7 linked regions of the Oryzias latipes genome follow. The protein of the gene in region 1 interacts with the protein of each later gene in a pairwise test. Links are inferred from orthologs where the notes say so. Each region holds a gene or a part of one and is shown in the gene's direction. Other genes may lie near its edges.

Region 1 (4,495 bases):
TAATTCACTTTGAGTCAATCAAAATATTGACGAGGCTATTCGTGACAAACTAAACATCCCTGAGCAGTTAATCCATATATTGTTTCCCTTTTTTAAAAGGTAAACTGAAAATAAAATTGTGGTAATTTCAACTTCCGCAAATCTTCTTCTACTTTTTTAGATTTTGTTGGTTACAATGTTAGAAATTCCCTTTACCGCCACCTACCGGATGCAATGCTCAAGCAGGATGTGCACACATCTTTTATTAGTTTTTATTCCAGTCCCCACTAAAACTATAGCTCAACAAATAATGCTGCAACTCTATGTGGAAGGCCTATGATTGGGAGACAAAAAATTAACAAACAAATTTTTTCGAGAGATTTTAAATAATTCATATTACCCTTCACGTTTAAAAGAAAATATATTTTGAAGAATTACAGCACCACAGAAGCTAAAAGGATATGAACATTATATCTATCATATCCTATCCCTCACAAAACAAAAGATGTGAACTTTAAAATATTAAATGATATATACTCTTCCAATCATTTTTTTACATTCTCGCTTTAACTGGGATGGTGATCTTTGTGTCTTTTGTGGAAAGGATGTAGAAACGGTGGAACATTTTTTCTTTGAATGTTTGCATGTAAAAGAGTTTTGGTCTTCTTTTTTTCATATTTGGCTCAAATCAATAAATATCATCATTAACCCTTTAAAATCTGGACTTTCTGATTTATATACTGGTTGTAATTTCGAAGCATATTATACATACTTGTAAATCCTTAAAGGTGAAACCTCACATTAATGGATTACTAAACCGTCTCAAATTATTCTTTAAATCTTTACATTACATGAATCATAGAATTGACATTGTATAATTCATTGATTTATTTAAACTTTTGCAAAAGCCCCTTATTTTTATTTATTATTATTTTTTAAGTTACATTTGTTTTCATATTTGTTTTTTGTCTACCTTTATCTCAGCATTGATATTGTTGTCATTGACAAACATGCCGTGATTGTTTGTTATATAACAACAACAACAACAAAGTTTTGTCACATAGTAGTGTTTTTTGAGAAGACATGAAATTGTATTTAAAATAAAAGAAACAAAATATGAAGATCCCACTGTGGTAAACTGGCTCACGTGTGGAGTTTTTAAAAAAAATATTTAATAATAATATTTTCCATATAATGATATGAATAAATTCTGATGTTGTAATGGATAAATAAATAAGATTTATAGTGCTTAAACTGTGTGGTCTGACAGATGATCTGCCTAATTTTAAAACTATAGAGTAGACTATTAATTAAAGGCATAGCAAGCCTGTTTGATGCAAAAAAGTACAGACCGCTTAACAGCTGAACTCAACTTTCATTACAATACTTTTTTTTTAATAAACTTTATTATTCAACACAAATAGAACAAGTATGTATGACAGGAACAATAGTCATAACAACAACAATGTCAGGGGATGGTACATGTATTACAAAAAGATTACAGATGCTATGAATTAAAAAGCAATTGCCAATAATGACGTGAGTATTAAACTTTATTTAAAATTCTATTAAAATTATGGGTCGTCTTCAAGTCTCGCGAGAATACACTGGTTTTCAAATGGGAGACAAACGTTTTTTTCTTTTTACCCAGAGTGCAGCGTCCATTCGGTCTTTCACAGGCAAGCTAAAATGGCGTCAGCTCCCGGTAAACGCAAAATTTTTACCAAAGTCACGATATTTACATTTATTATTCTTTGGAATTAATCTGTATTTGTTATTTAATGGTTTTGCATGTGGGTATTTTGTAGTATTTAGCGTTTATGTGGATTGTTTAAAAATGTGCCGTGGCGTGGACGGTGCAAGCGGCTTTGTGGTAGGCCTTGTTGTTTCGTGAGCTTCAACCATTTTTGCCGTTTTCAGTCTGTAACCTTGTTTTTTGATAATTTTTATATTTATCGTACATCCTCATGCTTAAAGAACTCAATCATTCATTGAACATTGTTCATGTAGTGTGTCCTTATCTTTAGCTAACAGGCATAGCATTAGCATTGAATTGTGACTCAATTGGCCCGTAACGTGCTAGCTTAATGGCGCGCAAACGAAACGTCGATGTTTCGTCGCATTTTAATTTAAAGTATTTTTTTTATCTTTTGTTTATAAGCAGATTACAGTTCCTACAGTCAGGCCAGTGCTCAACCAGGGTAAGCATTACTTTGTTTTATACCAATAAAAATTAAAAAGAATTATTAAATTAGAAGCTCTTCAGTCAACAACAGCCAGGAAATAAAGTTAAATTGGTTGATACCCATGTCAAATTACAGAACAGCTTTGGAAGTCTTTTTTGGATATTTCTTTTGCAGGTATGCCTCTTATGGCACCCAGCCATCACAGAGTTATGGACAAACAGCACAGGTGAGATTTGTAAAACAGCAGTTTGATGATGTGTGAAAACTACTGTATCACTATTTGGTCATATGCTGGCTCCTCTGTTCTTAAACCCGTTGAATCTTGCTATAAAAGAGCAATAAAACTGCTGGACAAGAATCACCGTTCCTGCCATCATCAGTCACATTCTTAACAAATATAAAATTCTAGGTTTTGAATCTTTCAAATCGGTTTTTCTAAGGTCCTTCGTGGTTTAGTCCCTCCAATTTTTAATCACAAATGACAGTAACCAGAACATTTTATGACTAGACATTGATTTAGAAAAATATATAAAGTTAAGATTTATACTGTTTATATTTTGTGTTTTCTTTTACCTCTGTTTTATATTCAATTTTCAACGTGTAGGTTCTTCTTAAAATCAGTTTTTGTTTCTTCAGTAACATTTACCTCCCAGGAGACGGCATATTGAAATTATCCTGTGGCCAAAATCCAACATCTCTTTTTTAAATGAATGCATATCAAACGCAAAGACTTTAATTAAGTTTAATTTATTTTATGTGATATTCATATAATTTATATTTATAAATGTAGGTAGTTCCTGGTTGCATGTGCTTGCCTAGCAGCTAAAGTAGGCTCTGTTCTAACAGCAAAGTTATGGTCAACAGAATTATGGATCATACACCCAGCCTGCTGCAGCTGCTGCAGACAGCAGCTACACCCAGGCGACCCCTGCAGCTGCAGGATACCCTCAGCAGCAACAGCAGTATAGCTCCTCCTATGGACAACAAGCATCAGGTAGGTTTTTCTCATCAGTGATCCCATTTGGATTTATTAAGACTGATGGATTGATAACAGTCTAAATGAATACATGATATTTGCTTCTGCTTTTAAAGTTTGCTTCAAACTGGTGCCTGCATTTAGCATGAAACTTATTTCTCCCCAGCTGCAGGCTATCCCGCTGCTCAGTCTACAGCTCATGGCTATTCGCAGTCAACTCAAGGCTATGGAGCCAGCGGGTATGATAGTACTCCAGCTGCAGCTACCGCTCCAGCCGCATCCCAGTCGTATGGCTCCCAGCCAGGCTACACCGCCCAGTCCGCCTACACTGGTTATGGTCAACAGGCAGCTCCAGCTGCACCGCAGAGGTAAATGTGCCTCCTTAGGAAGAAAAAATAATCACACCATGTAAATTCTTCAGTTGACTTGAAGTTATAATACACGACTCATAAGGATGATGTAATGTCTCTGTGATCATGATCAAAACAGACCCCTTATTTATTTTGTCTCTATAGTTACAATGCTAGCAATCAACCAGCTAGTTACAGCCAGAGCAGCTACTCACAACCTGCGTCATATGGACAACAGCAGGCTGGTTACCAGGGTCAACAAGCAGGTTACAACCAGCAGCAGGGTTACCAGCAGCAGACAACTCAACAACAAGCTCCACCTGCCTACCCTCCTCAAACTGCTGGTTCTTATGGTCAGCCTCCAGCCAGTCAGTACAACACACAAGGTGGACCACCTAGTTACAACCAGTCCAGCCATTACAGTACGTTTTATGTTGTGCTTTAACTCCATATATAAAATGGAGCTAAAGAACAATTTGGTTTGGCTCTGTGCTCACCCTACATGGTGTGATCTGATGTTTGTGTTGTTCCTTCATAGGTAGCTACAGGCAGGATGGTCAGGGTGGAAGTTCTGGTTATCCTGGCTCTGAGCCCGGAAGGTACTCAGGCCCAGGGGACAGCAGAGGTCCTGGCAGGGACGGCTTTGACCGTGGTGGCATGATGCATCGTGGTCGCGGAGGCATGGGGCGTGGAATGGGGTAAGTGTGCTTCCTTAGTGTCTTCCATTGTTTTGCCTCTGCAGGTGCTGTAACCATTTGAGGCAGGGCTGAGACAAGTCATTTCAGACATTTGCAATTAACTTTCTTGTAGATACAATGCAGCATTGAGTTATTTGTACGCTGTTACTGAAATTGACTTTTGTTTGAGTACCGGGGTGTTGAATCTCAGTTTCAGAGAGCTGTATCCTGCTTGTTGGATATGTTGCTATCTCGATTCGGTAGCAACATAGAAGGGGGAAAATTACATTCATCACTGACGGCTGGGATTTGACACCCCCTACTAAA
Region 2 (2,440 bases), about 500 kb from region 1:
ACCAAAGCACTTGTTGCCAGGGTGAAGGACAAAATTAACAAGGTACTAAAGGTTTTTTCCCCTGTCCCCCTTGTCTTACCTGTCGGCACAATAGTTAATATAACGGGCAGTGCTTTTGCATGACAGATGCCTCAGAGGCCGAGGTCGAGTCCCCCCATAAAATATTAAAATGAAACTCTTAGCCAGCATCCTTCTGTGCGGTTTCCTTGGTGACACCAGCAGGTGTTCAGAGGTTTGCCTCAGACTGAAAGGGCCCTGCATGGTGTTGTGGCAATGCTGAGGACAATCCACAGGGGAATTTTGTAATCCGTGCACAACCTGTCCCTCAACAATTCCTGCTTCATCACACATTCCTAATGGAGTTTAAGCTAGACATATTAAATGGGTTTGTGTTTTTTTTTTTTCCAGTTTCCCTCAATAATGAATCCTGTTCTTGACTCAGTTGATGCCATTTCTTACACTTGTGAAAAAGTCCTGACGTGCGAACCGATCACAGGAGAGCACTACAGTATTCTAGAGGTACAGATTATCTGTTTAAAAAAAAGTACTTATATGCACAAAGTATAAGCTGTTACTTCCAAGAATCTTAAACTTTGAGCGCATATGTTCAGGAGGCTTCATTTTCAGCTGTCTTTACCTTTTCAGGAGCTGATTGATATCAACCAGCACCATCTAAATGTTATGGGTGTTGGGCATCCGGCTCTGGACACTGTGTGCCGGGTCACATTGGCCAAAGGGCTCCACAGCAAGCTAACAGGCGCAGGGGGTGGAGGCTGTGGCATCACGCTGCTGAGACCAGGTGCTATACGCTGCTGTTAAATCTGTACTTGTGAAATAAAAAGGGGGAAAAAATTTCATTTAAAAAAAAAAAACTTTTCCAAAATCTCTGTCACAAATTTTATATTTAAAATAGTTTTTGAAGTGATGTCGTTCAGTTCTTGTTTGTTTTCTACTGGAATAATTTTATATTAACGAGTAGAAGGAGGATATGAATAATTTTTTTTTGTCTGAAGCAGCTCTTGGATTATTTGAAGCTAAAGCATCTCAATGGGATGTTTCTTTGTTGTGCAGCTGTGACCCTAATGTTGATCTGGCACTGGGCTTTCCTCAGCTGTGGAACAATAACAGATGGGAGATATTACAGGAATTTTGCCAATTAAAGACTTTTTGATGTTTCTGGATATATAACCTACTTTTTATCTTTTTTGGACAAAAAACCTGAATAATGCTTTACTGCACAAAACCATTTTTAATAATTATATTCCTTGTTGCCCTTTTTAAAATTGTTTGTTTTGTTTCTTTTCTTTGTTTTTGCAGAAACCGACTCTTCAGTGGTCCAGAACACCATGCAGGATCTCAAAGACTGCGGCTTCGACTGCTGGGAAACGAGTATTGGTGGACCAGGTGTTCAACAGCATTCCCCTTCCTCTGTGAAGGAGGAAATTCTGGAAATTTTAGAGCAGTACTGAGCTCACTAAGGAGATTTGCTACAGGGAGTAGCAAAACATTGGTTTACTAAGGGGAGATTTAAGCTTTAAATGTTGTCTGACATGAAGAAAAAGTATCTTTTCCATGGCTAATTTTTTTTAAACTAACATGAATCAAAAACTTGCTGCAACATTTCAATGCTATACCTACTGTTATGAAGCACTTTGTCCACTAGGTGGCAGTATAGGAGCACAGATGCTGTTTAACGGTTTACAGGTAGAGAAGGAAGATTCAGTGTTAAATTCTTCCTCAATTTGGATGTAAACTTTTAAAAGACAAAGGTGATATTAAAGTTTTATCCATGACATAAATCCTTGAAAATATTTGTATGTCATTCTGATTTTAACTGAAGTATAGTTATTTAGTTTTACACCTTTAAAAATAATTAAACTGTAATATTTCAGTTATGTTAAGTATTTTCTCGTCATTTTTTGCTGTTGTGTGTGCTAATAGAACAGGGAGGACAGCATAAGTGGGCAGCGTCTCTGAAGACTCAGGATTAGCGCCTCTCTAATATGAACAAACAGCATCTAGTGTCCGGTTGGGTCGCTCATTGCACACACTGTAGCTTCCCAAAATTACCCTCCACTTATTGCCTCTTTTTTTTTTCTTTTAAGTATAGCAACATATTCTGCAAATGCCACAGACACACATGACAGGCCTGTTTATAAAATCCCCCATATGGGGAAAAGGTCACGTGGGATTCCGTCGGGTTTGAATATCCATTTCATTTTCTATTTTTTAAATGTCATGAAGATTGAAGAGTCCGAATCCGACCACACATGTGAGTCAGCTGCATTTGTCACCTCCTTCTTTATGTGAGGGCAGCTGCCCCCCACCCCCTACCCGCTCTCAGCATGCTGCACTGTTGCCCCCAACCCTCGCTGGAATTTAATTAGCACTGTGCGTTTCAATTGAAACAGTATTGATGAGGGTGGATGGATGTGGGGTG
Region 3 (4,229 bases), on another chromosome or scaffold:
GCTAGGTTATCGCTATGTATAAATCATTAATAGAAAATTAAGACGTTTAAAAATATTCTAAGCAAATCGATCCCTTAATTAAAAATATCTGCACTTCAGAGGCAGAACAAAACAAAAAACTATGTAGAATTATTTGGCTCACGATCAGTTGGACTAATATTTAGTCATTGCAAGAAAAATTACACAAAAGGTGGAGGAAAAACTTGCAAAAACATTTAAAATTCTAAGTCCAGTTCATCCACATGTACATATTCCAACATGAATCCTCTAAATATGAACAGAACTGACCTCTGTGAGTCCTTTTATTTTCAAATAGCCACACAAGTAGGAATCCTCCATTGTGACATGCTGTAACAAATAATAAACAGAACTTTTAGGTCAAATCTCCACTGAATTTATGTTAAAAAAAATAACAAAAACAAAACTTGACGGTCAGAAGCTGCAGTTTCTCAAAAAATGTCAACAGCCCCTAATGTTGCAACATTTAAGCTAGTTGTGATAGTTTGTGTTAATTTAAACTGGTAGAAAATTGTGCAGCTGGTTGTTGTTAGTCGGTGTTGTTTGGGCGCAGTTGCTCTGCTACTCCCACCACTACACCCACAGTTGGTCCAGGACAGGCCGGGACCCCCTTTTTTTTTCAGCTGTCACTCTTCCAGCCGCCACTTTGACACATCACCCGAAAGCCTCGCGCTCGCAGTACGAAAAGCAACATTTCCGCCTCGGTGCCCCCCACCTGTAAGACCACCTCAACGTCGTAGGAGTTCCCTTTGCTTTTCTGGTGGCCTCTGAACTTGGAGCCGCTGTACAGCAGCGACGTGACAACACCGGGCTGGTGAGTGTTTATCGGCGGCAGCGGGATAAGCGAGGCCGAGGATGCAAAGGCCGCGGCCGGGAACTCGCTGAGATATCCAGCGGGGACAGGCATAGCTCCAGCTTCGCAGGCTGAACTCCAACCGCGGTCAACGGCCGTGCGGCAGCGGGACTCGGTCAACCTGTACGACCAGCCAGAAAGAAAGTCCCGAGGAGGTCCTCAAACATTCAAATTGCTCTTAATTGCGCCACAGTTCAGTTTGCGAAGCATCAAGCTCCCCAGAACTAAAAGTGGACTTCGAAGCTGCGCTGTAACCAGTAGCAACGGCTTATCTCATTGGTCCAACAACTTCACCCTCGAAGATCGTCGACGCTCATTGGCTGAGCAGGCGGAAGAGTATTCGTGAACATTTTTGATGTAGTTTTTAAGTGATGTGTAAGCGTTAGCAGTGCCAAAAATAAACTACATTTCCCAAAGCATGCAATGAAAACATTTTGTAGCTTTGTAGCATCGAAGGTCACACGCGTGGTTTTGAACCGATGTGTTACTGTAAGCTAGATGAAAACCTTAATGTTTAACAACAGATTTATTGTAGAGTCAGGTTCATTATACACTCAAGATCTGTTTGTTCAATGTGGTACTTTAGTGCGTGAGAGACCGGCTTAAGAAATCGCTAGTGAATCGTCTTTTTTATTGTAAACAGTATACGTCCAAATTTAGGTATGAATATGTTTAGACGTGTTTTTCAACTTCGAAATTCCTTTGGAAATGTAATTTCAGTTTGCAAGTCGTGTCCCAGTCATCAGTACTCCAAGTGTTTGTCAAAATACTCCACTGCATCTACAGGTAAACGTGTTTATTTTGACATTACTATTATTAATTATCAATATGCTGTGTGCTAATCATGTGCTACATGTTTTGCTATTTGACAGAGAGGAAGAGATTTTATCAAGATGTCAGCATATCTCAAGGAGATGGTGAGTCTTATTTAAAATTTAAAATAATTTTATTTATTGTTCCAGGGAAGACCAAGATTGATTATATTCTCTAATTTTGTGACGATTTTGTCCATAGATGGTTTGTATGAAATAAATCTGGATAGAAGGAAACTCAAAACTCCAGGAGGGAAGCTGTTCACAGTACCAAATGAAGCCCTGGCTATCGCCGTGGCAACAGAGTGGGATGCTCAGAGGGGGACACTCAAGTTTTATACCATGCACCTTGTATGGGATATTTTTTCTGACCTATTTACACCACAGTGTGTAGCCAGCCGTACTCATATGCCGGTTGAACTTTTCTTGCAGACCACTTTGTGCAACACGGCTCTGGACAACCCCACCCAACGCAACAAGGAGCAAATGATCAATTCAGCGTTGAAGTTTTTGGAGACTGACACGATCTGGTATGGATTTAGCTTTTATACTGTTTCTGTCCAGAGTTGATGATTATTTGGCTCATTTATGCCGGTTACTCAGTTTAAAAGATAAAACACCTGTATTTCAAATCAATATTTTACTTGAATGGAGAAAAAATGTTCTTAATCTAGAGAGAAAAGCAACAAGGACTTCAAAATAAAAGCACCTAACAGAAATACCAAAACAATAGAAAATTCAAAATTAGGTTTGTTTAGATAAAAAGTACCCAAACAAATCCTGGACTTGTGAGATGCAACTACATCTAATATGTTTTTTTTTTTTTCTATTTCTCTTTGTAAAAAATAAAACGTTATCTGCCATTCTGTGCTCTTTTTTTGCAATTTTTTTTGCAAATAATAGTCAAAATGCAATTACTTTTTAGCTTTTTGAAAATGTTCGAACCTATTAATATAATTTAGACTTTTTTTTTCATTATTATAAATTATACTTGTATAATGAGATATATTGTTTAACTGTCAACTATGTATTAGATAATCCCTTTAGTTCTTTAAATTTATATATTACATATTTATTTATTTCCCTTGTCTTTTTAACTTTTTACACATATTTAAAAAAAACTTATTATCTTATTCAGAATTTAATTTAAACATTTTATTGTGGTCCTGAAATATTCAACTTCTTTACACTTGTCTGCTTAATTGTTTTATGGATACCTTAGTAGTTTTAGCAAACAGATTTGCATCAGTCTTTTATTTACAATTATTATGTTTTAGCTACTTTATTGTGTAGGTGTGAATTTGTAATACATTTATTGGCACTATATATCTTTTTACATTTTCTATTTACTTTAGCATATTAGCTTAGGATTTAGCAACGTTCACTTTCTTAATTTCTTTAGCTAATTAACAATTTTATTTTACTGTTTTTTTGTGTTGATCCTTTTGTTATTGTGATTATTATTAATAATTATGCAGTGTATTTTTAGTTATCTCCCTTTATTTGACTAATGTAGCATTTTGCACTAAACTGTAATGCCACTGTAAAAGAAAGCAGATGTTTTTAGCTTATTGCAGAAAACTAGCATTTTTGTTTATGGAAATAAAATAAAAGAAATGAATTTTGGAACTTCTATGAATTTCATATACTAGATATTTGCAGGAGAAACTTTTTTTTCTCGGTCCATTGTCAGATGATTCCAGACTCCAAAGCATTAAAAATAAAGAATTACTGTGAAAATGAATGCAACAAACTTTTTCTTTGACCTAATTTCTTTAATAGGACCATCATTGTCTGGCCAGTAAAGTGAAAGCAAGGTCTGTTTTGTTTTCACCGGAGATGGTTGCCATATACCTGACTGTGGAGCAGGCTGTGCTGCTCTCTTATAGCATCTGCCATTTGGCTGCCTCTTTTTTTTAAGTTTCATTTTCAGATTAAGTTACCTTGTTGTCACAAAACAGTGATTTATTTATGCTTTGATTCAGTTACAGAGTGGAGGATCCTCCTGGTTTAGTGGACCTACAGAAGAACGAGTGGGATCCGGTTCTGCACTGGATTGAAAACCGGTAAAAAAAATAAAACAAAAGCATTAATCTTCACATCTTGTGCAGTAGACTTCCAAATGATGTAGGAACTGTCTCAGTAAACCATACATTATTATGCATTTTCTCTGTACTATTGCATGGCAGATACAATGTCACTATTGGATCTTCATCGAGCATTCTGGGTCCTGAAATTCCACAGGCAACCAAGGAAACTTTTCGACAGCATCTCAATTCTTACAGCCTCTGGTCCCTGACGGGTAAGACATCTCAACTCCAGAAAACGTGATCATCTATAGATCTCAACTTGTGCAGGCTGAGATGATGTATTTATTGTTTTTGAAATGTTTAAGAATTGTGTCTGTTTCTTTGCAGGACTTGAGTTTGTGATCTCGCAGCTGAAGTCTATTTTGCTTTCACTGGGGATGGTTGACCGATACCTGACAGTGGAGCAGGCGGTGCTGCTCTCCAGACTGGAGGAAGAATACCAGGTGGGAAAAGTCC
Region 4 (4,173 bases), on another chromosome or scaffold:
TTTTATTGTTCATATTGTAATTTGTAGACAGACCATGTCATACCAACATAGAAAAAACCCACTGCAAACAGTAACACAAAGGGGAAAAAAGATAGGACAATATTCTGTCCAACAGTCCAGGCAGTGCAGTAGGAATTGGTGTGGTCTTCCTACACCTCTTGTCGTTCCTGTATGTTAGGCCACAAATTCTCATCCACATCACAGCGAATATCCTCTCTTGCAATGCAGCGAAATATGATTGTCACATTATGACAACTTGGTCAACCATTTTGCAGTTAATGACTTATACGATGAACTAATGACTAGGAGTTTTGAGGAGTAAGACTATTGCACAGTGAACTATATAATACATTTTGATCAACATGACATAAACAATTGATAATGTAGCAAAGAGCAGAGAATTGTACATAATCATTTGCATGGATGTACCAAAGCAATTGCAACTTGTTCAAAGAAGTGAGAAACTGCTTATATGATGTGCACAAGTGACATCATGATGTGAAGATTGAACAAATAGTTTTGGGAATTTCATTCTGATCTGACAATTGTACTAAAGCGACTGAAAAAAACTGTAATTGCTTAAACAAAAGTTTTCTTTTGCCAAATTGTGTGAAAGTGAGAAAATCGTTGAGTCCAAATCCCTTCACTATATAGTGCGTCTACAAATCTACATTTCAAAATCCAGGGCCCTAGAAATATCCCAGAAGTCTCTACGAAAAACCAGTGAGCATGGATAGATAGATAGAAAGATAGAAAGAAAGATAGATAGACAGACAGACAGACAGACAGACAGACAGACAGAGAGACAGACAGACAGACAGACAGACAGACAGACAGACAGACAGACAGACAGACAGACAGACAGACAGATAGATAGATAGATAGATAGATAGATAGATAGATAGATAGATAGATAGATAGATAGACTTTATTTAACAGTTTTTAATATTTTAACACATTTTGTTAAAATATTTTTATTTCATTTTTTTTATAAACCAGCAGTTTCATTATCATTACCCAGTGGATTCATAAATTGTCTTTTTAAAGTGTTTGTAGCATTTTTTTATAGTTTATTTTGGGAAAACGTTGGTAAATGTATAGTGAACAGGTCCTGTGGAGCCCATAAAATAGCCCTCACCCTCAGGAAGGTTAGTGATTCCTGCCCCAGATGGTGGTAAAAGGGGCAAAATGCAGAAAAAATGTCTCACGGGTAAAGCGGTATTTCCACCGTCTGTACAGTAGGTGGCGGTGTAGGCCTTCAACGCAGATTCAGATTAAATGTACGGAGGAAGAGAAGGAAGGACGGAGTAGAAGAAGAAACGGACTCTTCGCTGTAGATCGAAATGGCGGCGCCAGCAGAGAGGATGGAGGTGAGGTCTTTGAGCGGGAAAAACGCTCATTTGTGTTCGAGGAAACGTCCGCGAGTTTTCCCGCAGGCTCCGGAGCGGCGCTTCGCCGGTGTAGAGGGGGTGTTAGCGCTGGAGTTTCCGGATGCTGCCGCCGCTCATTCATCACAGTGTCGCATTTACGAGAAAAACAGGGGAAACGGTTAAACTCTTCAAACTGGCTTTTGTTTACGGTGGGGTCTGGTGTGTATTTTCGGTTCGACGCTGAAGCGACGGTGGGGGGGCGGCAGGCACGCAGCTGGCGGTGGAACCGGCAGAGCCTTCGGACCGCATGGAGACTAACGTGCTAGCTGCCGGGCTAATTAGCAGCTCGTGCTAACACGCTGATGCTGAGCTCGGATCCGCCGGACGTTAGTCTGCCAGAGTTTACGTTAAAACTCTCGATCAACGTGATCCACTACGGAGCTCCACGTGGGTCACTCCACCCGCGCGGTGCCGGTTTACCGGAAACCTGAACTAGCTTTTCTGTCGAGCCTGGAGTGGAAAACCGGCGAGCGGGTAGTCCCACTGTTTCATCCCGGACTAGACTAGAATCTTCGGTACCGGTTCTGCCGTCCTCTTGAGTGTCCCGGTCTCTGAGCTGGTCCAACAACAGAACCTTGTTCTGGAAGTTGGTCGTCACGTGTGGCTTTGTTACGACCGAACCGACGTTACCGGGTGGGGGTGGGGGGTAGGATAACTCTAACTTCCGGTGGTCTCATGGGGCATCGGGTCCACGTCCTTTGTTCCTCTGAGGCAGCGTTAACGGATCGGTTGTTTCTCTGTCTTCTGTGTTGCCTGGAACCGGACCGGCTCCTCGGCGGTTCCAGATCACGTGACTCCTTTGATCTGCAGACATTCATGGGGTTTTTCCTCCTTTGAGGTTTCTCAGGGAGAGAGCTCAGCCAAGCCTGCAGCTGAAGACATGACATCCAAGGACTACTACTTCGACTCCTACGCCCACTTTGGGATCCACGAGGTACGCCTTCGTGTCCCGTTAAACCTGCGGCCCCCGGTGCCCGCGTCCTCAATCGCCCTCTGCTCTGTTCCTGCAGGAGATGCTGAAGGACGAGGTCCGGACCCTGACCTACCGCAACTCCATGTTCTACAACAAGCACCTGTTCAAGGACAAGGTGGTGCTGGATGTGGGCAGCGGGACGGGCATCCTCTGCATGTTCGCGGCTAAAGCCGGAGCCAAGAAAGTCATCGGGGTAGGAAGGCGTGGACTCGGCTTGGCGGCGCCCGGTTGCGGCGCCTTGTCTCATCCGTGTGCTTCTGCCGTTACAGATAGAATGCAGCAGCATTTCTGACTACGCCGTCAAAATAGTGAAGGCCAACAACATGGATGACGGTGAGTCCACCGCCGTCCGGTGTTGACCGCTGAATGTGGAGGGAAGGTCCTGACCTCTTCTGTCTCTAGTTGTGACCATCATCAAGGGGAAGGTGGAGGAGGTGGAGCTGCCGGTGGACAAGGTCGACATCATCATATCGGAGTGGATGGGCTACTGTCTGTTCTACGAGTCCATGCTCAACACAGTCATCTACGCCCGCGACAAGTGGCTGGTGGGTGTCTCCTTCTGGACGTCAGCGCTTCCTCCAAACTAGTAACTGTAACCACTGACTGTATGTGAGACCTGGACTGAGGGAGCGGGACATGGAGCTGCATGGCATGAAGAAAATTAGCCACCAATATTGCAACAGACAAACAACAACAACAATATAATTGATATAATAATGAGATTTTTTAAAATAAGTCAACAAACTGTACTGCCAGTTCTGTCAATAGGAGATGGGTAAGCGGGTAAATGCCCCCATCTACCCGGTCAAGAACAGACTAGATAATTTGTGGTTGGGTGTGTTTTAAACATTTGTCTGACTGTGCATATGTGTCAACGTTTACGCCCTCTTTGCAATGCGGGATTGCTCAAGTTGATATGGCCATGTTGATTGTTTTTTGATTTTTTTTTTTGTGCAGGCCTAGAATTACGTCAAACGATAGAAAAGTTCAAAATTAAATTTTTTACGCTGCCATGTTGAAGCCAGACAATGTCAGTGAGCAATGATTGGTCTAAGTTGTTTCTATGACAACCAATCAGAAGAGAGCATGTTGGAAGGCCACACCCCTACCACTTAAAGTGGGCTACACGAAAATCTGTCAAACGTTTCTAACACAACCTACTTTTGAGGCTTCTGATTGGTCAGTTTATTGTTTGAACTACAGAAAAAATATTTAAATTATCAATAGATTGTTAGGAAAAGGCATCAGATCCAGAACGGTTCTTCTGACCAATAGAACACAGGACGAACAGCTGTCTGTTTCTCTATAGACGTCTATGGGACATTGGCTTCTTGGAGTCACTTCCTGTTTGGAATGCCAGAAGGGAGGGGTTACTCAGTCCAGTTCTCTGAAACAGTCAATGGTCTTAACAAAAGTACGACATTTCAATGATAAAAGTTTCTACCAAAGCTGAGCTGACGGCAAAGGTTGGCGGCTGGAATTCTGGGAATCCCTCAAAGATCCTCCTGGTGGCTCTAGAAAGGAGCTTCTGCTGTGAACACAGTCATGATCGGTTCATTGAAGATGTTTAAATGTAACCCCTGAGTGTGTTCCTAACACTCATGTCCCCCTCCCTCACAGAAGCCGGACGGACTCATTTTCCCTGACAGAGCTACTCTATACGTCACGGCCATTGAAGACCGGCAGTACAAGGACTACAAAATCCACTGTGAGTAGGTCACATGACCGGGGCGGGGCTGGCTCCGTCTCGGTGGGGGAGTCACGTTTGCG
Region 5 (4,425 bases), on another chromosome or scaffold:
GGAAGGAAAGCAGCCGGCACGCTGTGCAGGAAATGGCTTTTAGATTCGAGTTAATATCAATAATGTTGGAGAGCAAGGAAACATTTTAGATGAGACACAAATATTATTACATCTCTTCCCAGAAATGCTCGAAAGTCCCTTTGTGCAAGTCCAAGTGAGGTCTGAGGTCTATAGTCTATATTTCTATATATAAGTCTATATCTATATACAGCTTGTGCATTTCCAGTTCAAAATCATTTAAAGAAAGCTTTGATTTTTACACCTGACTGAGAGATTATGTTGCCAAAAAAAGAATAAACAAATAAACTTTGCTATCAGGACCCAAACCTTAGGTCTCAATTCAAGGCTCAAGTCTCTTCATGAAACACAAATGCGACTCAAGTCCTCTCGTATTTTTTAAACATGTCACAGTGTTTGCTTGATTTTTGCTTAGTTTTTTGAGATGATGTATAATAGTAAGAAGAAGCTGAAAATTGCCTTATCCAAAATGCAGCATCATAACAGACAATTGATTCTTTGATAACTTTGTCTGTTTTTTCCCCCCTTTATTTTAGTACTCTTGCCTCACAGCAAGAAGGGTCAAGTCCCGGCTGGGGGACCTGAAACAGAATCACAAATGGAGGACCATTCTGTGAGAAGTTTGCAAGCTATCCCCATGCATGCCTGGGTTTTCTCCAGGGACTCCGGCTTCCTCCCACTGTCAAAAAACATGCTTCATAGGTCTAAATTGTCCTTAAGTGTGAATGCAAGTGTGCATGGGTGTGTGAATGTGCGTCAGACTGGCGACCTGTCGAGGGTGAACCCTGCCTTCGCCCAATAGTGGCCAGGATAGGCTCGAGCAGCCCTTGATACTGAAATGGATAAAACTGGATTAGAAGACAGATGAAAAGATGGATGTTTATTTATTTATTTGAAGTGAAAATCTGCAGTGAAACAAAATGTCAACAAGGAAGAACAATAGAAGATAAATCAATTAAATAAAGAAACTCTTCCTATCTCCGAGAACTTTGAACTCTGGAAGGCAAAACCTAATGAGAAAAAACGAGCTTCTGTGAGTCTCAAATCAGATCAGCACCATGGACAGCGACACAAACAGAGCCGCGGCTCTGCGGATCACCCTGATGTGGATTATTGACACCAGCGGACAGTCTGGCTTGTCTGGACACAGCCGAGTGTTGTAAGAGGTTAGTTGTTGCGTGACATTAATTAAACTGCAAGTTTTCACTTTAATCTTAAATAATCGAATTGACAAGTTCATTTTGGATGCACTCACTCTGTATTTGTTACTTGGTTCATTTATTTCAGATTAAAACCACATTTTCCTCTTGGACGTGCTGAACTCTCAGGCTGGTGGTGCTAATAAGACGAACTTGTGTGTTGCATTACCCTCAGTAGGGAACTCCTCAGCTTTTCATCAGCACTGATTCTTCAACGTGGCCAATCGTGTGAAAGGGGCGGGGACGCGCGCAGCGATGCCCGGGAGTCTGGCGGGTTGCCGACAAGAGGCAGCTGCAGCCGGGATGGGCTCACACCTCTGAGTCACTGCTCAGCCTCTGGTCAGGTATTTTGGACGTTTTGAGGTGTGTGGTTTTTTTCTGGGCGTTTCCCCTCTGTTGTTATTCAATAAAAGCAACTGCAGCCACTGTTAGGCAAGAGGGGAAGAAGGTACAGCTGCACTCCGACGTTCAGCACTCCAGTGATCACACACCTGCTCCGCTGCTGAAGAGCTGTGATCAGAATGCATCCAGATAAGTGTTTACCTGAACTGGTGGCAGAGAAAAACAGCCTGGATCCCTCTTTTGTGCACGCGGTGCGTTTACTGGCAGAAGGTAAGTCAGGTTTTTCTTTCTTTCTTTTTGTCTACAATCTGCTGCATACGCTGCAGATTGCTGGGCACCAGTCCCCGTTCTGTTAGTCTCAAAGCATCTTCAATTCAGTCCAGTACAGAGAGGTTTGTGGAGATTTTGACACATATTTCTTTGTCCTTTTGTGCTTCTTGGAGTAATTGCCCTCAACTGCACTTTTTTAGCTTCAGTCCAGAACTCGACAGATTTTCTGAGCAAAGAAAGTTGAGGTTAAAAGGAGAAAAATGCATGACTGAAGTTGAGAAAAAAAGCCAGCATGTTCAGTGAAAGAGCTTCTAGGTGCTGCAGGCAAAAGTGCAACACTTTAGCAGAGTGACGGGATGGATCAAGCTCTCAGTGAAAACATAGTGGCTGCTTTTCTTGTAAGAATCGTTTGCAAATATTTTTTAGATGCACGTTTACAATAGAAAGAAATAAAACGTTCAAATATACAAGATAAATCATGTTCAATCACAATATACAAGCCTTTTTTATATGTTTGAATTGCTGTTTCTTATGTTGTTTTTTTTTATTTATTCGTATAGAATTTTGTTGTTGTATTGATTCGTTGCAGTCCATGTCTCTTTTTTAGACTATTTTTTCATGGTTTTGGTGTAAAGACAACTGTTTTTCTTATAAACCTTTCTTTAAAAGTTCATAAAATAATACGCCAACACACACAATTACTGCAGGGTATCTCTTTAATTGTTAATTTTGGATGTATGTGAACTAACAAAAGTGCACCAGAAAGAACTGCAGATTATTCAACTGAATATCTGCTGTCTGTATTTTTTAGAAAAATGTACAGCAGAATACAATAATGTTCCGCCAAAGATCCTCATTGTGCATGTGTTCATTTATATTCAAAGAATATAATACTTCAAGAGGAAGCACACTAGCCCAAAGCACGCACAGATACTAATTTGAAAGTTAGTAACTTTGGCATTTCTGGAATGGACATGAAGCTTCCAATAATCAAAGTCCACACAAAGCGTTGGGATAAAGAAATGTGACACAAATATAATTACATTTTGCTAGAAAAAAAACATTGCAGAAACTAAATACACTTTTTTCCTGTACTTTACCATATATTTTGTTGAATTGATCATGTGATTTTACTAGGCAGATTAGTTTAGTTTACATTTCTTAATCAAGAAAAGCAGACAAGTTTTACCATTTTGTTTATGTATTTATGGAAGAACTGTGCTGTGTTCATATTCTAACGGTTCTGAGGGTTGCTGTGCTCTGATTTTCCAGCCCCTTAAGCACTACTGTTGAAATGTGTTGATGAAACACCTCACAGTATGGCCTTTGCCACTTGCTGGGGTGTAGATCATCTGTTACACAGAATACTTTTTCAGTCAGTGTTGACTCACACAGCCAAAATTCCAATAAAATATGTGCAAACTAAAATGCCCCCTTTTTTCTTCTTTGAGTTTTTCATTAGCACACTTGAATGTCACTTAGCCCTAATTAACATCACATTCCAGTGTGGATATTCAATAGTTGCTGAGAAAATTTGCAGCATTTCCCTGATAAAGTTAGAGAATCTCGTTTCAAGATCACCTCTGAAACTTCAACTTTTCACATCATCCACAACAGATACCAATCAGAGCAGTCAATCATGTTTCCCACATCAGCACAGAGCATATAGAAAGAAACAGGCAGCACAAGAAAGCTCTTTCTGTGATCCACTGTCACAGAGCTCTCCCATCCATCTTTGCAGCGTAAAAATGCAGCATCATGCTTATTGGTGGACAACAAGATAAAATGCATTCACTTGTTATAGATTCAGGGGCGATTTATCATTGAGCAGAATACAATGCCATCCTTCATTATTCACATTATACACAATAAACCACAAAATATGGATTTACAACAGTCTTGGTTAACGTCTCCCAATTTATTTAGTGTTACTGCAGTAAACTATCCTGATGTGAAAACCTTTTGTTTAAATTAAATGTCCAGAATGACATTTTCATTTTTATCTTTCTTTTTCTGCAAATCTCAAGGTTCCTGCATCATTTTGATCTATCAGGAAGAAGTCAAACATTGGGAATTTTCCAAAACCTTTTTCAAGATAACATTGTCTGTAAGTTCCTTTCGGTTTGTTGGTGCTAATCCCCCCCTATTCCCACCAACACTATTTCCTTCAGGGAAACAAACTCAGTTACTGTCAGTATGGTGTGAGCCTAATGGCTGCAGAGACCGACAGAACAGGCAGCTGTTGGGTGTGCTTTTAGTTTCCTTTGAATAAAGAACACAGTGGGTCTTTTTAATAGTGGGTGGAAGACAGAAACAAGAAAGGCAAGCTCTTAATAGATCCCAGAGGTTTTCTTGGTAAGACTCGACAACGTGCTAGGTATAAAAGCCAAAGGGATTCCTAATGAGAAGACAGGGAGGCAGAAAGAAAGGATGTGATGGACAAAAAAGGGAAGCTCTGGCTGCTGAAGAATTTGTATCTGTGTTACATCGCAATATGCCTTTTTTTCTATCACAAGTCATCTTTCACATTTCACTTTAGGAGTTATAAAATGTCTCATTTTAGTTCATCAGACTTCTTTTGTGTATATATATACTG
Region 6 (4,424 bases), on another chromosome or scaffold:
TTAACTTCAAAGGCAGCATTATTATGTTTCTTATAGATATAATCCAACCAGATCAATCTGTCCGAGGCAAATTGATAATTGCATCGACCTTTACTATTATAAAATTGTTTCAAAATGAATCGATTAGAGCTGATATTAGTGAATACCATCTGGATTGAGGCACGGTAAGTTTATTTCACAACAACATAAATATGAATCGGTGTCATCACAGAGGACAACACACATGTGATGGCTGCAAAAAAGGATCAATCCATAATTACAGTCCAATGTGTGGAAACACTTTTTACAAAGACATGTGACCATAAAGTGTGGTAGAATGTTCTAATAATGTTCTGTTTAGATTATTTTGTTGTGGGCTGAACTTTAGGAAACTAAAATGTCAATGGATTTGCCATTAATCCCTGTTCACTTGTTTGCTTGTACACATATTTAATTCACACTTTATTATTTATTTAATTTACACATTCTTGCAGGAGAATCCTTCACCTGCTCTACAGTACCCAGGTATTTATCACCGAGTCACACACTGGTTGATTTTTTGGCTAAAATGTCCTGAATCGATTTTCAGTCTATAAATCGTATCGTTCAAAATGAACCAATATCACCTATGAATCATATCAGCAACTAAAAAATATAATGATATGAATCAAATCATGGTTAAAATTTAACGTTACACCCCTACTTTCTAGTCTTTAGTGCCTTGAACTACAGACAACATATGATCATGTGTATATAGAAAAGCTAGAACATTGTTACTGAATTCTCCAAATCTGCTTTCCTTTTAGGATATAATAAACTTTATAATAAAAGTCCAATGATAAGTTAGTGTGAAGGAAGATTAGCTCAACAAATCGGGATGTAAATAGTTGGCAGGATCATTGTGAAAATTTAAACGATAAAATTATGGTTCGTAATAAATGTTCAGTTTCACATTCATTTTTCGAAAGATACAACTTTTTTTCACTAAATTCTTCAAAAAAACAGGACTGATGCTCAGTGTTTAAAACTCGTAAAACGGGGTTTTGGACAAAACTAAGTACTAAAATATCAGATTGACCTACACATCTGCAAACAGATCGCGTTTCTGACGAAGATTCAAATCGCTGATGCTAAACAATACCGAAAAATAAACCTGTTTTGTAGCATCTCTAAGCTAGTAAAGCGGTTAGCCGTTTCCAGCTTCTGCCTGCTAGCTTTAGGACCGTCACTGCGCGTTGAGCCCGTTTTCTGTGTAGCATTTTATAACCCCACGCGTACGTGTCAAATATCCGAATCTCGGTAATAACTGTCAGTTTTTAATTTGCAACGCCATACCTTACTGAGCTCCAGTCCGTCAAGGTGTTTCTTACTCTCTGCCATATTTCATTTGCCGAAAAAGGAGGGGGGTTTCCTGTGTGACCAATATCCTTTCGGTTGTTGGAACGGAGCGAGGTTGTACTCCAAAATGATCCATAGAGGGCGCTAATAGAGATTGGTTCCCATCTTTACAGGAGTAGGGGTCAAAGTTGAATGTTTGACAGAAATCTAAACATGGATTCCATATTTCATGAAAAAGTAGGTTTAAACAATTTACTTGTGACATTAAACTGAACGCCTTTACTCGTGTGTAGTCGGAGAGAGTAAAGACACTTAGCATTTATTTAGAGTTTGTGTTTAGCCGGTGCTAGCTTCAATCTAATGTTATTTTGGCTTTATTCAGACTGCTAATGCTAACTCACTTGCTAACCAGGTGTTGTTAAGTTTCTTTAAAAGCTAATAGAATGAAGTTAGAAAACGAGTTTGCGGTATTTATTGTACACTTCGACTCCACCAATAATTATTAAAGAAAAAGGATACTAAAGTTGTATGTTGCTCGTTGTTTAGATGTTTGAAACATTATTTATTTTTTATTTATTTTTTTGTAGTTGCTTTAGCTTTTTGTATAATCTATCTCCAAGGTTTTGTAAGTTTTTGCACTCCATTTTGAAAAAGTGGAGACCTTTTTTTTTCTCAATACGTTTACGCAGTTATTCTTTGTTTTCAGCAAGAGGGTTCCTTATGTGCCCAGCACTGCCTCAACAACCTTTTGCAGGGGGAGTATTTTACCCCTGTAGACCTGTCCTCAATTGCTCATCAGCTTGACGAAGAGGAGAGAATGAGAATGGCAGAAGGAGGTATGGGTAGTGAAGAGTACAGGACCTTCTTACAGGTAAGTGGGGACAGGTAACAGATGTTTTCTGCAGTGGTACATGTATTTAAACAACTGTTTTAATAATAACTTTATAGCAGCCATCTGGAAACATGGACGACAGCGGATTCTTTTCAATACAAGTATGTTTATGTGCTTTGTCATATGATCATTAGCAATCAACTTTACAAGATTGTCTTATCACTCCTTATGACTGATTTTTATAGGTAATTAGCAATGCTCTCCGAGTGTGGGGATTGGAGTTAATTCTCTTCAATAGCCGGGAGTACCAGAGCTTGATGATAAATCCAATGTAAAGTTGTATTTTCAAGACTTCCTTGTATAGCAAGTCGATCCCACACCCACATTTAAATCCTGACTTGATGTCTTTGCCTTTAAGAAACGAGAAGGCCTTCATTTGCAATTATAAGGAGCATTGGTTCACCATACGCAAGCTTGGACAACAGGTATGTCGATTTTTATTTTTTTACTTTTCAATACGTGTGTTGATGCTTAATTTACTTATTTAATTATTATTACAGTGGTTTAACTTGAATTCACTCTTGACTGGACCAGAGCTGATATCAGACACATATTTAGCTCTTTTCCTGGCACAGCTACAACAAGAAGGTATTGTAAAGCCGACTTGTTTACACTATTGCACCTTTTGGTACACAAATACAAAAATAATGTATTTCTGCAGGATATTCCATATTTGTGATCCAAGGGAATCTTCCCGAATGTGAAGCAGAGCAGATTCTCGGAATAATGCGGGTTCAACAACAGCAACGGCCCAGGCTAATTGGAGAGGATGAGGCTCAGACAAGTTCAGGGTAGGTTTGTGGAAAATGGTCCTCGCTTGGATTACATTAGGTCTTGTTTGGACATAATACATGTCTGTTTTTAGAAGCAGATCCGTTGCTCGGGGGCAAATGGACGTTGTATCAGATGAGGCTGTGGATGACGATGAAGAACTAAAGAGAGCTCTGGCACTCAGCAGACAGGAAATGGATGTGGAAGATGAAGAAGCTGACCTTCGCAGGGCCATTCAGCTCAGCATGCAAGGTGTGCCATTTCAAAGCTCCAGGCTGATTTGAAAATATTTTATTATATTGGAATTTTTTAACCCTTTTTTTGACGTTTTTCCTTTAACTAGGATCAGGCATGAGTAACAAATCTTCAGAGTCTGATGTGGGAAATGTGAAATCCGAAAAACGGACTGTACAGAGTTCTACATGTGGAGATAAACCAGGCCAGAATGAGACACTTACTGCTGAGGAGCTGAGGAAGAGGAGACAAGCTTATTTTGATCGGTAGGATTTGATCTGTAAAACTTGAATTTAACAAAAAAAAAAACTTTCAGTAATATGTGTACACATGTTCAAAGGTCTTTTTTTAGTGAGCAGAAAGGAGAAATGTGCCTTATGAACCAGACTTTCGTATTATCTTTCAGGCAAGCACAACCAAGCATTCCACGACAGTTAGAAAGTCATGCAACCAGTGACTCTGGTGAGTAAACTCTATTTAAAATTCAAAACACCCTATATGTATAACACCCATTATATACAGTTTTTTGCATATCAGAATGAAAATGTAGATATTATTTTCATGTCAGAACAATAACCCAAGTATCCATTTTTTGCCCCTAACACCAGAAAAATCCAACTCTATGGAGGACCAACAAGAAAAAGACACCAAATAAAGTTGTGAAAGCTTTGCTGCTTTTGTCTACCAACGCTCTGAACTTGAAACCCTGTACAGGGGTTGGCTTCTCTCCATTCTCTAACCTTTTGCAAACGCAAACATACTGCAGCCAGAAGGCCGACACATGGTTTCCTTCGCTGGGTTTGCTGATGGGCAAGGGAAAGGCAGCACTTGGTCAAATCAGACCTCAGTGTGGTACAGAGATGGGGGAAAAGGGTGATCGCTGGACTTAAAAATGACTCATAATGTAGTTATTCCAAGTTTTCAATGGCCTTTTTTTATTTTACCATAGAGCCTTCTATTTCTTTACATTCTGGTTTTTGTTGTCTTAATTTTTTTTGAAAACATAAAGAGAAAATGAATGAAAAATGGGTTAACTTTTATGAAGTTGGATTCTAACAAGATGAATGAATGAAAGCCATAAGAGACCAATGTTTTAATCATTCGTTATATCTTTGTGGATAACAGGGTGTCCCGCCGTATACATGGGTTTGTGGAACACACGTGGAACGGAAAACCTAGCCCAACCAGAGTTACCATTTGTTTTTCTGAT
Region 7 (3,719 bases), on another chromosome or scaffold:
AACCTTCAGCCATTGTTGTTGTATTTAGTTGTTTTTTTGTAGATTTTCTATAAAATTGACAAAAATAACTACATTTGACTCTGGATAGTTAAATCAACCCCTTTTTCCATTCTTATTTAATTGGTCTGGGACTCTTGCAGCCCTTTGGGTCCACAGTCAGACCCTGTTCTGATTGAATGGGCCTCCACTTGTGTTTGGGAATCTGTCGGTCCTCCACTCCGACACATCCACGCCTTTTCAGTCACTCCTGCAGACGCGGTTCATGCATGACAGCGAGGCCTTTGGTGAAATCTGCAGCTAAACTGTGATGACTCGAGGTGTAAGAAGCCACACGTGTGACAAACCAGATGTGGATCAGGCGCCACGCCCAGCTCATCCAACGTGCACGCAGTTACAGTGTCACGTTCAGCTTTCTGTGCAGGTGTTTTTCCTGAGCTGAGCCCTTCGCTGAACCCGGCCCAGCATTTCCAGCCGCCTGACCCGTCTGGTTCCTAAAGGGCAGCTTTTGCCGGGCTGAGGGGCGTCTGCTCATGAAAGCTTCGCCTTGCCGCTGTCCTCTTGAGCGGCGTGGTTTGGAAGCCTTTCCCGCCGGTTTACAGCCAGAGAGCGAGCACTTGAACGCAGTTTGTGTGGCAGACGGTTTCTCCTCACACTGCTCAGCGCTGAACCCGCAGCCAGAGAACGGCGTCGGAGATGTGATGCTCCTTTTTACAGCCGCTGCTCCAATGCTGCAGCCCGCTCTAAAGGGCTGCTGGGAAATGAAGTCCGTCACTCTCTCTCATCGGCACTTTTTCTCTTTTCTTTCAGGGTTTTATCAAAGACGTCCATGAAGACTCCCTCACAATCGTTTTTGAAAACAAGTGAGTTTTTGTCTCTATGACCCCGTGGGTTTGATGTTTGCTTAAATGATGGTTGGAAGTGGACGCTGGGCCTCAGGAACCCCCATCAGCAAGCTGCCCGTACACGCCTGCCCGTTTTTTAACCGTCCCTCCTACACAGGAACGGTGGCGACTCCTCGCCCCTTCCACTGTCCTTTTCTATTAACCACACCTCTGCTGCCGCACTTAGCCTCACTTAGCGTGGCGCAGGGCGTGCAGCGGGCGCCTCCTAAAAATAGGGATCAGAAGTATGCGAGGTGGGGGGGGGCTTCTCTTTTTACTCTTTAGGGCATGTGGAGGTGCCGCTTTTACAGCAAAGTGCAAGAAAGATGCATTTGTTTTGACAGACATACGGATTTAAAAAGAACGTTTAATCTTTAAATTCTATTTCTGTTTATAAGATGTGAATAAAATGACAAAATAAGTGTTTCCGGCCTCGTAGTTGTAAAAGGTCCAATAAAAAGAGCAGCATTCGCCGATGGGAAACCCGCAGCATCACCAGATCTGGTGACCCGGTGCGGTAAAACCGGGACCACCAACCTTCTCTGTTGTTGGCGGGGGGCTGACTCTGCTTTGTGTCGTCCCGCCACAGCTGGCAGCCAGAGAGACAGTTGCCCTTCAGCGACGTGCGGTTGCCCCCCCCAGCCGACTACCACAAGGAAATCGGGGAGGGTGATGAGGTGGAGGTAAGAACTGCTGCGCTCCTTTGATTCTCCTCAGCATCACATCATCAAGACCGGCCAGCGTCTTGGCGTGTGATCTCTGCTTTCTGAATCCACGCCTTTTTATCAGCCTGTGCAATACGCCTATCGCACAACACGGCGTGAACGGTTGGCTTAAATGTTGTTTACCTGCACGCCAAAACCATCTGTTGGCATCATGAAGAGTTGAATCAATTAAATCCTCCTCCTATGTACACGTGATATTATTATTTAAAGGTTTATTTACAGAAAACACTTGCAGTCAAATGGAAATGATGGGCTGTTTTGCTATCTGTTGATGGATTGGAAGTCATGGCCGTATCGATCACCGATCACGAGTGTTTCTCCTCGTTCAGCTCTGACACCTTCATCTCTGATAAAGTCCCACTCCAATCATCTTTCCATCTATTTTCAGAGCCTTCTTTCCAACATGACTAAAATCCAAAAAGCTGAGGTTTCCTGGGACATTTCTGCAGAAACTGCTTGTGACCCGTTCAGCTTTCTTCTTTTTTTGTCTGCTCCTGATTCACAGTGATTTGAAAAAAGAAATGCAATTTAAATTGACTCTATGTCCGTCATCGTGAGAAAACCATGTTAAAAAAACCCTTTTCAGTCAGAATAGTTTTTTTTTGATCCGGTGGGTGACGGCTTGTTTTTTCCCGGCAGGTGTACTCCAGGGCCAACGAACAGGAGCCATGCGGCTGGTGGCTGGCGCGGGTCAGAATGATGAAGGGCGAGGTGAGTTTCTGCCCGTCGTGACGAGGAAACCTCATTCCCGGCGTCTCCTGTGGCTTTAGGGTCTGTTTCTGTTGAGTTAATTCCAACACCGTGGCTGGAAGATCCGGCGTGGCGGAAGCTTTTAGGCTGAAGGAGATGAACCCGCCGGAGGTTTGGATGAAGGAACTCCACACCAACGTCTGTGTGGAGTTCTGCTGCTTATGCAGCTTTAACTGGGAGTTAGTCGGCCGTCTGAGCTGCAGGTTGAGGATGGGAGGCGGAGTTCTGGAAAGGGCAGATCTGCGCTGATACGGAGCCTGGAGAGCTGCTGCAGGTCTGCTGCTGTTATTTGGAGCAGAGTGATAAGAGCCTGCAGGAATGTCCAGCGTTGACGGATGACTTTAATTCAGCTCTTTGAGCCTGGAGCTGTGGGGGAGCGGTCACGCTGCGTCTGTCTCAGCTTTTATTTTTGATCGATGCCCAGCTGTTAAATACCTGGATATTTATATATTTTTTTCTTTACGACCTCAAACTCAACTTTATTTAAATAGCACTTTCATACAAAAGCAGCCGACACAAAGTGGTGAACACAAGAAATAAAAGAAAAACACATCAACCACAAGATTAAATATAGAAAGATAAAAACAATGACACTATATGAGTTTTCAAACGGGTTTTGAAAATGGACGGTGATGGAGTTTATGAGCAGCGGCAGCAAAAGCTGTGTCCCCTCTGAGCTTCCGTCTGCACCTCGGTACCTCTAGAAGCAGCTGATCAGCTGATCTGAGGCACCGGGCCGGCGAGTAAGGAGAGGGAAGCTCTGAGAGGTACAGACCCTGTAAAGATTTAAAAAACAAATCTCAGAAGGAACCCTAAAATGCGCAGCCAGCTAACAAGAGCGACGCTGAAATCGGCGTGACGTGATCTCACTTAGGTCCTCCAACCAGAAGCTGCATTTCAAACATGTTGGAGACGCGAGGACGACTGGCGGCGTCCAAAATACAGAGAATTTCAGTCATCCAGCTGTGCCGCTGTTCAAAAGGGGTTTACCTTTGCAATGTATGAGCAAAGGGTGTTTTAGCTTCTCTCTCTGCTGCTTCCAGTTCTACGTAATCGAATATGCGGCGTGCGACGCCACATACAACGAGATCGTCACATCGGAGCGGATCAGACCGCTGAACCCCAACACCCCTTCCTCTAGAAACACTTTTTACAAAGTCCCCATCGCCGTCCCAGAAGACCTGAGGGACATGTGAGTCTGCTCGCTGCATGAGCGTTCCTCCCTCAGCGTGGAACCATTCTGCCTCTGTTTTCATAAATGATGTCTGCATCAAAGCGGGGTTTTCCTTTTTGACAGCTGTGCAAACGACAACGTTCACAAAGACTTCAGGAAAGCCATCGGAGCAAACTGCATCTTCTACAG

The links.
Region 2: the proteins of ewsr1 (region 1) and mvk interact in a two-hybrid assay, tested with the Homo sapiens proteins (2 studies listed by BioGRID and IntAct). The two-hybrid records come from large-scale screens. The link is inferred for Oryzias latipes from reciprocal best matches to the Homo sapiens genes EWSR1 and MVK.
Region 3: the proteins of ewsr1 (region 1) and atpaf2 interact in binary tests that used the Homo sapiens proteins (3 or more experiments, as listed by UniProt). The two-hybrid records come from large-scale screens. The link is inferred for Oryzias latipes from reciprocal best matches to the Homo sapiens genes EWSR1 and ATPAF2.
Region 4: the proteins of ewsr1 (region 1) and prmt1 interact in a two-hybrid assay, tested with the Homo sapiens proteins (2 studies listed by BioGRID and IntAct). The link is inferred for Oryzias latipes from reciprocal best matches to the Homo sapiens genes EWSR1 and PRMT1.
Region 5: the proteins of ewsr1 (region 1) and khdrbs2 interact in a two-hybrid assay, tested with the Homo sapiens proteins (2 studies listed by BioGRID and IntAct). The two-hybrid records come from large-scale screens. The link is inferred for Oryzias latipes from reciprocal best matches to the Homo sapiens genes EWSR1 and KHDRBS2.
Region 6: the proteins of ewsr1 (region 1) and ataxin-3 interact in binary tests that used the Homo sapiens proteins (3 or more experiments, as listed by UniProt). The link is inferred for Oryzias latipes from reciprocal best matches to the Homo sapiens genes EWSR1 and ATXN3.
Region 7: the proteins of ewsr1 (region 1) and fragile X mental retardation syndrome-related protein 1 interact in a two-hybrid assay, tested with the Homo sapiens proteins (2 studies listed by BioGRID and IntAct). The link is inferred for Oryzias latipes from reciprocal best matches to the Homo sapiens genes EWSR1 and FXR2.

What each region holds. Positions count from the first base shown.
Region 1 is NC_019867.2:12,693,666-12,698,160, reverse strand, and holds the start of ewsr1 (RNA-binding protein EWS), read left to right. Parts: upstream 1-1,618; 5' UTR 1,619-1,668; coding exon 1,669-1,684; intron 1,685-2,140; coding exon 2,141-2,180; intron 2,181-2,339; coding exon 2,340-2,391; intron 2,392-3,029; coding exon 3,030-3,159; intron 3,160-3,307; coding exon 3,308-3,509; intron 3,510-3,656; coding exon 3,657-3,913; intron 3,914-4,029; coding exon 4,030-4,189; intron 4,190-4,495. UniProt on the Homo sapiens protein: Binds to ssRNA containing the consensus sequence 5'-AGGUAA-3'. Might normally function as a transcriptional repressor. EWS-fusion-proteins (EFPS) may play a role in the tumorigenic process.
Region 2 is NC_019867.2:13,196,993-13,199,432, reverse strand, and holds the end of mvk (mevalonate kinase), read left to right. Parts: coding exon 1-42; intron 43-408; coding exon 409-519; intron 520-645; coding exon 646-799; intron 800-1,317; coding exon 1,318-1,469; 3' UTR 1,470-1,901; downstream 1,902-2,440. UniProt on the Homo sapiens protein: Catalyzes the phosphorylation of mevalonate to mevalonate 5-phosphate, a key step in isoprenoid and cholesterol biosynthesis.
Region 3 is NC_019877.2:3,256,540-3,260,768, forward strand, and holds the start of atpaf2 (ATP synthase mitochondrial F1 complex assembly factor 2), read left to right. Parts: upstream 1-1,289; 5' UTR 1,290-1,533; coding exon 1,534-1,657; intron 1,658-1,743; coding exon 1,744-1,788; intron 1,789-1,885; coding exon 1,886-2,034; intron 2,035-2,115; coding exon 2,116-2,213; intron 2,214-3,668; coding exon 3,669-3,749; intron 3,750-3,872; coding exon 3,873-3,985; intron 3,986-4,100; coding exon 4,101-4,216; intron 4,217-4,229. Other genes in the region: gid4 (glucose-induced degradation protein 4 homolog), read right to left, coding at 289-348, 734-925. UniProt on the Homo sapiens protein: Plays a role in the assembly of the F1 component of the mitochondrial ATP synthase (ATPase).
Region 4 is NC_019866.2:24,804,288-24,808,460, reverse strand, and holds the start of prmt1 (protein arginine N-methyltransferase 1), read left to right. Parts: upstream 1-1,247; 5' UTR 1,248-1,343; coding exon 1,344-1,370; intron 1,371-2,268; coding exon 2,269-2,364; intron 2,365-2,440; coding exon 2,441-2,596; intron 2,597-2,672; coding exon 2,673-2,736; intron 2,737-2,805; coding exon 2,806-2,948; intron 2,949-4,023; coding exon 4,024-4,111; intron 4,112-4,173. UniProt on the Homo sapiens protein: Arginine methyltransferase that methylates (mono and asymmetric dimethylation) the guanidino nitrogens of arginyl residues present in proteins such as ESR1, histone H2, H3 and H4, FMR1, ILF3, HNRNPA1, HNRNPD, NFATC2IP, SUPT5H, TAF15, EWS, HABP4, SERBP1, RBM15, FOXO1, CHTOP, MAP3K5/ASK1, MICU1 and NPRL2.
Region 5 is NC_019873.2:24,545,696-24,550,120, reverse strand, and holds the start of khdrbs2 (KH domain-containing, RNA-binding, signal transduction-associated protein 2), read left to right. Parts: upstream 1-1,467; 5' UTR 1,468-1,738; coding exon 1,739-1,829; intron 1,830-4,425. UniProt on the Homo sapiens protein: RNA-binding protein that plays a role in the regulation of alternative splicing and influences mRNA splice site selection and exon inclusion. Binds both poly(A) and poly(U) homopolymers. Phosphorylation by PTK6 inhibits its RNA-binding ability.
Region 6 is NC_019880.2:12,489,025-12,493,448, reverse strand, and holds the start of ataxin-3, read left to right. Parts: upstream 1-1,465; 5' UTR 1,466-1,509; coding exon 1,510-1,554; intron 1,555-2,023; coding exon 2,024-2,188; intron 2,189-2,265; coding exon 2,266-2,310; intron 2,311-2,394; coding exon 2,395-2,480; intron 2,481-2,567; coding exon 2,568-2,634; intron 2,635-2,709; coding exon 2,710-2,797; intron 2,798-2,870; coding exon 2,871-3,000; intron 3,001-3,074; coding exon 3,075-3,232; intron 3,233-3,323; coding exon 3,324-3,480; intron 3,481-3,620; coding exon 3,621-3,676; intron 3,677-3,822; coding exon 3,823-3,869; 3' UTR 3,870-4,424. Other genes in the region: E3 ubiquitin-protein ligase UBR1, read right to left, coding at 1,315-1,359. UniProt on the Homo sapiens protein: Deubiquitinating enzyme involved in protein homeostasis maintenance, transcription, cytoskeleton regulation, myogenesis and degradation of misfolded chaperone substrates.
Region 7 is NC_019876.2:28,856,916-28,860,634, forward strand, and holds part of fragile X mental retardation syndrome-related protein 1, read left to right. Parts: intron 1-807; coding exon 808-860; intron 861-1,470; coding exon 1,471-1,564; intron 1,565-2,245; coding exon 2,246-2,317; intron 2,318-3,399; coding exon 3,400-3,548; intron 3,549-3,653; coding exon 3,654-3,719. UniProt on the Homo sapiens protein: mRNA-binding protein that acts as a regulator of mRNAs translation and/or stability, and which is required for adult hippocampal neurogenesis. Specifically binds to AU-rich elements (AREs) in the 3'-UTR of target mRNAs.